Linked DNA regions of Rattus norvegicus. Each later gene encodes a partner of the first gene's protein in a complex. Links are inferred from orthologs where the notes say so. Each region holds a gene or a part of one and is shown in the gene's direction. Other genes may lie near its edges. The genes, in order: Nup93 and Cetn3.

Evidence for each region.
Region 2: Nup93 (region 1) and Cetn3 share a complex: the UniProt entries of both Homo sapiens proteins name them as parts of the nuclear pore complex. The link is inferred for Rattus norvegicus from reciprocal best matches to the Homo sapiens genes NUP93 and CETN3.

Annotation. Positions count from the first base shown.
Region 1 is NC_086037.1:10,790,891-10,795,271, reverse strand, and holds the start of Nup93 (nuclear pore complex protein Nup93), read left to right. Parts: upstream 1-1,334; 5' UTR 1,335-1,397; intron 1,398-4,381. UniProt on the Homo sapiens protein: Plays a role in the nuclear pore complex (NPC) assembly and/or maintenance. May anchor nucleoporins, but not NUP153 and TPR, to the NPC. During renal development, regulates podocyte migration and proliferation through SMAD4 signaling.
Region 2 is NC_086020.1:13,823,461-13,828,068, forward strand, and holds the start of Cetn3 (centrin-3), read left to right. Parts: upstream 1-1,630; 5' UTR 1,631-1,718; coding exon 1,719-1,735; intron 1,736-3,265; coding exon 3,266-3,401; intron 3,402-4,608. UniProt on the Homo sapiens protein: Plays a fundamental role in microtubule-organizing center structure and function. As a component of the TREX-2 complex, involved in the export of mRNAs to the cytoplasm through the nuclear pores.

The DNA of each region.
Region 1 (4,381 bases):
AGCTTAATAGAACACTTTATCAGGCAGGCATCCACCAAACTAGAATTATTAATGGTGACAATTTTATCTAGGCCTGTGTTCACATGTACCTCATTATGTCAGGTGGGTGACCTTCACTGAAAGATTAGACATGTCTGAGACTGTGCAACCCAAAAAATGCCTCTTTAACAAGTAAACGCTATTATGGGAGCTGAAGCAATGGCTTAGCATACTTCTCTTGCAAAGGACTTGTTGGGTTTCCTTCTTAGTACCCATGTCTCACAACCACTCCGGCAGATCCGATGACCTTTTTTGGCCCCCTTGGGCACAAGGACACACACACACACACACACACACACACACACACACACACACACGCACACACACACATTCTCCTCCCAGCAGTTGCTGAGATCTGTAGCTTGCCTGTACTGTTTTGTCTTTTCTTTTCTTTTCTTTTCTTTTCTTTTTCTTTTTTTCGGAGCTGGGGACCGAACCCAGGGCCTTGCGATTCCTAGGCAAGCGCTCTACCACTGAGCTAAATCCCCAACCCGCCTGTACTGTTATTTTTCTCTCAAACTTCCAGCAAAATTGTCTTCCTTCTGGGTCTGTTTTCAAATTTCTTTTTACTTACTAAACTAAGAACCTCCAGAAGGATTCTTATATATCCCAGTGACACACTTTGTTCCACTTCCCAACATGGCTACACTGAAGTAAATCTCTTTGAAGTTTCACCACTGTTCTTTTCTGTAATTGGCCTACTGGGGCAGGCGGCCAACCTAGCTTGCTTGTTCAGACTGCCAAAACACAGACTTTTCCCTTAAAAACTCCAAAACATGTTTTTAGCTTCCACCTTTTAGTCAGAATGTCACCTGAGAGAAGCCTTCCTTGGTAACCCAACCATTTTTCTTCAGTTAATTTGCTTTTCTGTTCTTAGCTCTCCTAATTACTCCTGTATTTATTCACTATATTTTGTTTCCCTGGCCAAGCTGAGAATCGTTTGAAGTCAGGGATCTTGTCTGCTGCGGAAGTCACCGTGTCCCCAACACCTAGAACAAGCCCAGGCACTTGCCTAGAGCTCTACAGCGAGTAGCTGAGCTCTCTGGTTTGGTCCAGCTGTGGGAACTGCGGAAATGCTTTCTCAAGTACTGTCAACCTGAACTACGTGGGCGGGAGAAGGGCGGAGCTCCCTTGACTTACTTGTAGCGACAGCTCCGCCCCTGGTTCCGCCCCAGCCCCGCCCACGTCTGTGTTCTCTTGCGGATCTCCATAAAGTTCACTTGGCGGCGCAACGCGCAGGGGCTTCTGGGAGCTGACCGCCTCAGCCAATCAAGAAGCGCGGGCGAGCGGCGCGAGAAGCGGCGGCGGCGGCGTAGTGAAGTAGCCGGGAGCTGGCGGCGAGCAGGCGGCAGAGCCAGGTAAGGCATGTGCGGCGTGGGCGACCACGCGACCCCGATCCTGGGCCTGGCCCGAGTTCGGGGTCTGGCCTCGAAGCAGAACCCCGAGCCTAACTCGAACTCCATCCTATGTTCGTAGCCACGAGGCTCGCGCTTCCTTTCTTGTGGTGGCTGGCTGGGCACGCCGACCGGCGACAGCTCACCGAGTGCTGTGACTAGGCTCTTCTGAGCGTGGTCCTTCCTACTGGTGCACTATCGCCACGCCCACCCACGGCTGCCAGGCGTCACTAGGCCTGGCTGCCCTCTGTGGGTCGTGGGGGGCGTTCTTCTAGAGAATGGCTTTTCCGGGTGAAGGGAGGCCACCCAGCGAACCCCTGTCAACTGTTGTCTCCTTTTACGGATAATCCAACAGGATGCTAATGGTTGCCACTCCGGTTGTCTCTTCTGTTTCTGGGTACCCTGTATCCTATCTTCTGTAAGGAGTGCCCAAATATATTGGGTCCCTTCTAAAAGAAAATCACAGCATGCCGGGCATGGTGTCACTGTCAAAGGGAGTTGGAGCCAGGCTGGTCTACATTAGACCCTGCCCCACCCCTACCTCACTAGATGACTTTCAGCACAAGCAAAGGTCAGCACTTTAGTAACAATAACAGTAATAATCATCATCATCATCATCATCATCATCATCATCATCATCCACCCCTAGTTCCCTAGATGACTTTCAGCACAAGCAAAGGTCAGTGCTTTAGTAATAATAGTAATAATAATAACAACAATAATATAAGCCCCCCCCCCATAGTGAGCTGTAAGGCTTTTAAATAATGTGACCCACATTCTCAGAGTCTGTTACACCCCCCCCCCCCCCCACCGCTACCACTGCTAGACATGCTTTGACTTCAGGTCTTAGTTCTTGTGGTTGGATGTCTGTTTTGCCAGCTCTAGAGGGGCATTTAGAGTGTAAACCTTTCCTCACTCCTTGTCTTCACTGCCTTAGTTGTATTCCAATATTTAGGTTCTACTCGACCTATGTCTTGTCTCTCCGCTGTAGAACATGAGCGCCTACCTAGAACCTGGGTCTGGCACACAATAAAGTAGGTGCTCAATAAATACCAAATAAATGAATGTTATTGATATCATTATAGGCTTGTGAATGTGGTGGTGAATGAGACAGGCTTGTTTCTTGGGAAGACATCATATATATAATATATATTATATATACATATGAGTGTATATACATATGTACATATATGTGTGTGTGTATATGTATGTATGTGTGTGTATACACACACACACACACACACACACACACACCATGAGAGATGAACTGTTGGAGCTGTGGTGAGTTTGGGGTCTCTGTCCCCCTCCCCCCTCCTTCTTGTGTGACTTTTATGTATATGGATATATGTATGGAGTCCAGAAGAGAGTGTCTGGTTCCCTGGAGCTAGAGTTACAGACAGCTAGCTGTAAATCACTGATGTGGGTGCTGGGAACTAAACTGGGGTCCTCTAAAGAGCTGTAAGTTTTCTTAACTGCTGAGCCATCTCTCTAACCCCTGGGCCTATGAGGTAGTTACATTTAGAAGTGTGGGTGTGTGTGTGTGTGTGTGACAGAGTAAAGATCAGGAAGAAGACCCAAGTCTGTTATGGTCACTGGTCATTTTAATTAGCAAACACATTTTTAGTTCTGTTGTGTGCCAGGCTTAGCTAGATGCTCAGGATTCAGGGTTAAATATTTGTGAACCTTTCCCTACAGGAAGACATGTTTGAGAAGAAGTGGTTGCAATTGCTCCACTAGGGAAGAACGTTCAGTATAATTAGGGAGTCCTTTGGGTAGGTTAGAGCAGCCCTCTGACTTGGCAGTATGCTTAGGAGCTCCCTGTGTCTGGTGAGGATGTGAGTGTACTTGACATGGACTGGAGCATGAAGGAAGGAAACTATGCAGAGCTTCCTAAGGCATAGAGAACTGTCAGGGTACAGCTGGGGAGGAGTCGAAGATGGTGCATGGCACTGTCTATTCTACAGAGCATGCAGCCAGGTCACAACCTGAGGTTGAAGGTGCCCCTGATGGTCTAAAGTAGGAGGTATTTTGGAATATCCACTTTGGCCACAGCAAGACTGGGTTAGAAGAAATGGGAAGTTTTAGGCTGTTGAGGTAATTGGAGGAAGTTATGAGGGTCAGAGCAGAGAGGAAAGGTGAGGGTGTGACTCGTTATGAGGTATGAGAAGTAAACTTGGAGATAGGCTGGGCTCGGGGGAGAGGGGAGCCAGATGGTTTCTGGTTAAATTGACTGTTGTGGGGACCTAAGATGAGGAACTAGAATTGTCGCTGGCACTCATAGATCAGTCAGGAGTAGCTATCAGATAGACGAGTAGAAAGAATTGGTTTGGAGAAAGAATTAGAATTTAAAGATGCAGGAGTTTTGTTTGTTTGTTTGTTTGTTTGTTTGTTTGTTTTTTTGCCTTATTTTATGGCCTCTTATAGTTCTCTCTCCTCTGTTTCAAATAACCTAAAGGTTGAAATGTTTTGTAGCTTTATACTTTGTATGCATTTGATTGTGTGTGTGTGTGTGTGTGTGTGTGTGTGTGTGTGTGTGTGTGTGTTGGGGGTGGTGAGATGCATGCCCATGCGTGTTTGTGGATGTCCCAGGTCAGGAGTCTTGAGGTTGGCGTTGGATGTTTTTGTTGCTTTTTGAGACAGCAACTCTCTCTGAACCTGGAGCCTACCAATTGGCTAGACCAGCTTACCAATGAGTCACCCAAGATCTACCAGTCTCTGTCCATCCCTCCCTCAGTGCTGGTGTCAAATTGATGCCACCACATTCAGCTTTATACATGGGTACTGGGGATTCAAACTCGCATCCTCACGCTTGCGCTGAACTCACTTTTCGCAGTCAGCGGCCTTCTGTTTGTAAGGACTAAAGGCCACTTTACTCCACCAATGCGCTCAAATAGTAGCTTAATCTAACTCCAGTACACAGTTACTGACTACCAGGAAAACCTCAAGCA
Region 2 (4,608 bases), on another chromosome or scaffold:
CATTATTCTTCACTGTTCGATTTCGGCTTCTAGCATCCATGACTCAGGGGAATGCTTCTCTACATCTCTGTTTTCAAAACCATGATAACAGACTGAGCCTTAACAAGTCTTTTCTGGCTCTGATCACAGGTGGGTAAAAGTCCTGTACTCGTCAGAATTAGACATTGTGATTAGACTCTGTTCCCTCTCATGACCCATTTTAACATTATATCTCAAGGTGTGGATTCTAATTTGACTCGTAGACATCTTTTCCCCTATTAGGTACCATATTTATGGTTTCAGGATACCAAGATGTAGCCTTAGCTATTATTCTACCTATCATACCACTATGATCTATGTACAGCCTCCAGAACAGTCACTTATGAATCACTGGTAATTGTACAATGTTTAACTTAACTTCATATCTGTGCACTAAATAGTTAACATTAAATATTTAAGAAATAAAAGTACTTAATTTTATATTTTAGGCAGAGTCTCACTACTAGTCCTGGCTGGCCTGGAATTCACAATGTAAAGAACTCAGAGATCCGATTGTATGTCTATTGGGTGCTGGGATTAAAAGTATGTAGCACCACGCCCAGCAAGTTCTTCATTTCTCTACTTTGGTTTTGGGAATGCTACCATTTAGCTATTACTTTTTAGTTCTATCCCAACTCTCTAGTCAAATTTCTATCTACACTCCAGGCTTAACTCATACACAGCCAATTACCCAGTGTCCTTCCTTCACATACAAATTTAGATATAGTATTTCCCTTTTCTAACACCTAGCCCCAGTTTATTGTATTTATGCCTATAAGAACTGCTTGGTTAGCTCAGGAGTTTCCAAGTTTTCCACAATAAGACTTCGTTTTACGCATCAAGTATTTATGGAACACCTAAGTTCCAGATATTTCATTTGGTACAAATATTCGTGTAAACGGAATTGTGGCCTTGAGGACAGTCGGTCTAGCAGCTTGGTGATCGAAGTAAGCTTCAAGAGGCTTGGTGGGGAGTGGAGATAGAATGCACACACAAGGTTTACAGCACTAGAAAGTGAAGAGCAGAAGCAAACAAATACATTGCAAGTCGCACAGAAGAAAAGGATGGTTTAGGTAGTCTCACTGTACATGACCTAACAAAACAACAAAATGAAAAGACTAATCCAGTCTGCCTTAAAATCACTTGGGAAAGCTGTACGGGGAAGAATGCTTAGCTTGGTCGTTACTGAACTAAGATTGGAGAACATCACCTTTAGATTTAAGTTTCTCGGGTGTACCAGCCACCCAGAATTGTACATCTTTTTGTAGACCTGGTTCCTCAATCACTGCTCCGTCTGAGCAGGCTGCTTGTGCCGTGCCTTCTTCCCCTTCCTTCGGTCGACGCTGTGCACGCGTGCTCGGAACTCCAGCACCATGTCACCCGTAGAGCCTAGCCTTGCCTGCCTGAACCCCGCGTGGTGACTTAACAGGCGCGCAAAGGATTCAGGAAAGCATCTGGCCAATCCAAGGGGTCAGACAGACAGCAGGGCGAAATGTGTACTTGACTGACATGAATGCTGACCAATGGAAACAGAAGACAATCGACGCTTCCGCCCCAATGGGCCGGCTGTTGGCAATTTCGGCCAATCGCACCCAGAAACTTCTGTCAGGTGGGTGGTCCCCGAGGCCGTGGAGGTTGGTGGCTGTTGAGCGGTTCTCGTGGTAAAGTCCTTGAGCGGAACACCTCTGTCGGAAGAGAAAATGAGTTTAGCTCTGAGGTCGGTAACGAGGAGGCCGCGCCTCCGTTCCCCAGAGGGGCCAGGGAGGGCGTGGAAGGGAGGCCGAGTCGGGAGCGGACGAGGAGTGCCGAGCATCAGACCTCGGCGGTCCCCGCCTCCCACAGCGCCGCTCCCCGAGTGAAGTCTCGCGAGGTTTCCCTCACGCATCTGCGGGTTTCGGGCCTGGCCGCCTGCTTCCTCCGGAAAGTCACAGGAGAGCTCGCCTTTCTGCCCGGGTCCCGTGGCACGCTGTGCTTTGGGCGTCCTGGGTGGATCTCGTTTCCGTGACACCCTCCAGTCACTTCCGGACATCCCCCCTCCCCATTGGCTCCTCACCCTGTCCATCTACACTTAAAGGCGCCCCCGGACCGCGCATTAGCCTGGGGTGGGTGTGTGGCGAGTGTGTGTGTGTGTGTGTGTGTGTGTGTGTCCGCGCATTAGCCTGGGGTGGGTGTGTGGCGAGTGTGTGTGTGTGTGTGTGTGTGTGTGTGACCGCGCATTAGCCTGGGGTGGGTGTGTGGCGAGTGTGTGTGTGTGTGTGTGTGTCCGCGCATTAGCCTGGGGTGGGTGTGTGGCGAGTGTGTGTGTGTGTGTGTGTGTCCGCGCATTAGCCTGGGGTGGGTGTGTGGCGAGTGTGTGTGTGTGTGTGTGTGTGTGTGTGTGTGACCGCGCATTAGCCTGGGGGTGTGTGTGTGTGTGTGTGTGTGTGTGTGAGCTGGGGTCACGTGAGAAAGATTCCTGGCTGCCACCGTCACCCGCTCAGCACTGATCTCCCACGTCTGGTCCACCCGGAGGGCGTTCCTGACGAGACGCTGTTACAGTCAGCCGAGTTTTAAGATTTTGAGGTTTTAAAGCTTCCATCTTTTAAAACGTGCTGATACACGTGTTGTGTCGTATCCTCGTTTAAACATTTGGACTGCTTTTTGCATTGGCAGCTCTTAAGGCAGACATTTTCAGATCCAAGTGCCCTTTTTAGATTTCCTTTAAACTTCAGAGTTTTTAAATGAAGACGTCTAACCTATCGTTTACATGTTAAGTGAGAGTTAAAACACTTTTAAACATCACGTCGTGGACTTAAGCACGAGTATTAGATGCTGCGATTCTGGGCGCCTAGTATTTGCATGTTTAGGCCCTTTAATAGTTTGCCTGGCTAATATCAGTGGAATAAAACCACAAAGCACTGTTAGAAATGTATAATCTAAAAACATTTTGGACTTAGAATGCTAAAGTAATCTTTTAAGTTTTATGGATGATTTTTGTAGTAATTGTGAGTTGGTTGTCATTTGTGAATTTCACTTTTGTATGTTTTTTTTTTTTGGTTATTTTTATGTTCTTGGTAGATGACAGGAATAATATGTATGATGCTTTCAACTTTGATTAGGATTTCGGTTATAAAAGTACATTTGGACTACAGGACGTTAACTTAGGCTCAGTTTCTTTATGTGCCAGACTACTCTGTTGAAATTTAGAAAATGATTCTTTGTCCTAAGTTGGGTTAAAGTAGACTAAAGGCATTTTTCTGTGTCCTAGAGGTGAGCTTGTAGTAGACAAAACAAAAAGGAAAAAACGAAGAGAACTCTCTGAAGAACAGAAGCAAGAAATTAAAGATGCTTTTGAACTGTTTGATACCGACAAAGACCAAGCCATAGATTATCATGAATTAAAGGTAACAGGGTATTTAAGATCCATTTTTGTTTAACTCAATTGCGTTTGTGCCTGTTGCTTTAAAGTCTACTTTAGAAGCTTGTTTCAGAACTGTGAGGCTGTTTGTAGTGCCCACCCACAGGTGCTACAAGAAAACGGAGTAAAAATGGAGTATGGCTTCTAGAACCTTGTATTTAAGTGTAAGAGTGCATCTTGATGGGAAGTCTAACTTTTCCATTCACCCAGTAAAGGGACAGTTCTTAGCATGTTCTTCCTACAGTTGTTTTCTTCTGTGTGATGATATAGCTCAGATTTTTAACAAAACAAAATTTTTTGGCATATGCATGTGCCCCTGCTGGCCTGTACATCCCCTTGTGTATCATGTGGTGGGCAGAATAGGGCCTGTGTATCTTCCATCACTCTACTCCACTGCCTTGAGACAGGCTATTTCCCTGAGTTGGAAGTTCAGCACTTGAGAGTGAACTCTGGGGATCGCTGCTGTCTCCACAACTATGCCTGTCTTTACATGAGTGATGGGGATTTGAACTCTGGTCCTCAAGATTTTAGGGCGAGAACTCTTACTGACAGTTTTGAAATGGAGAGATCATTGACTTTGCTCAGACATTTGAGATTGACTTTTAATTTTTAAGATAATACTAGCACACTCTTAGAGTACACTCTTCTCTGTTACAAAGGATATAAATTGTCTGATGCCTAATGTTGCTACGTGCAGAAGGAAAATGTCCTACCCAAGGCTTTAATTACTAGTAAAGAGGGAAGGGGAAATTGGTTATGAACACATTTCTCACGTTCAGCCTAGTAAGAAGGATCACATTTTGATCTCTTTAAGTACCCTTAAAAGTTCATTTAGTAGTTTTAACATTATAGGGGTAGAATCTATGTAGCGAGATGATAGACTATTTAAAAGTAATAATAGACTTTGAAGCTTTGGCCTCAGTCTTGAGGTCCTCCTTTAGCTCATTCCCTAACCCACTGTTCTCTTGCTGCTGCTCCCCTCCTCCACATAGCATGAGTTCTTCCTGTCCAGTGTCTTAGCTATTCGTTGTCATTGACCATCACAGATGGGGACTTTGTCTCATAGCTGGAGCGTCCTCATTTCTGACTTGTCTTTTACACCACCATTAATTCCTGTTGTTCTTGAATCCTTTGACTATGTTCGTTGCTCATAAGCTGTTTCTGGCTGTCCCCTGTATGCTAAGTAAAGCTTC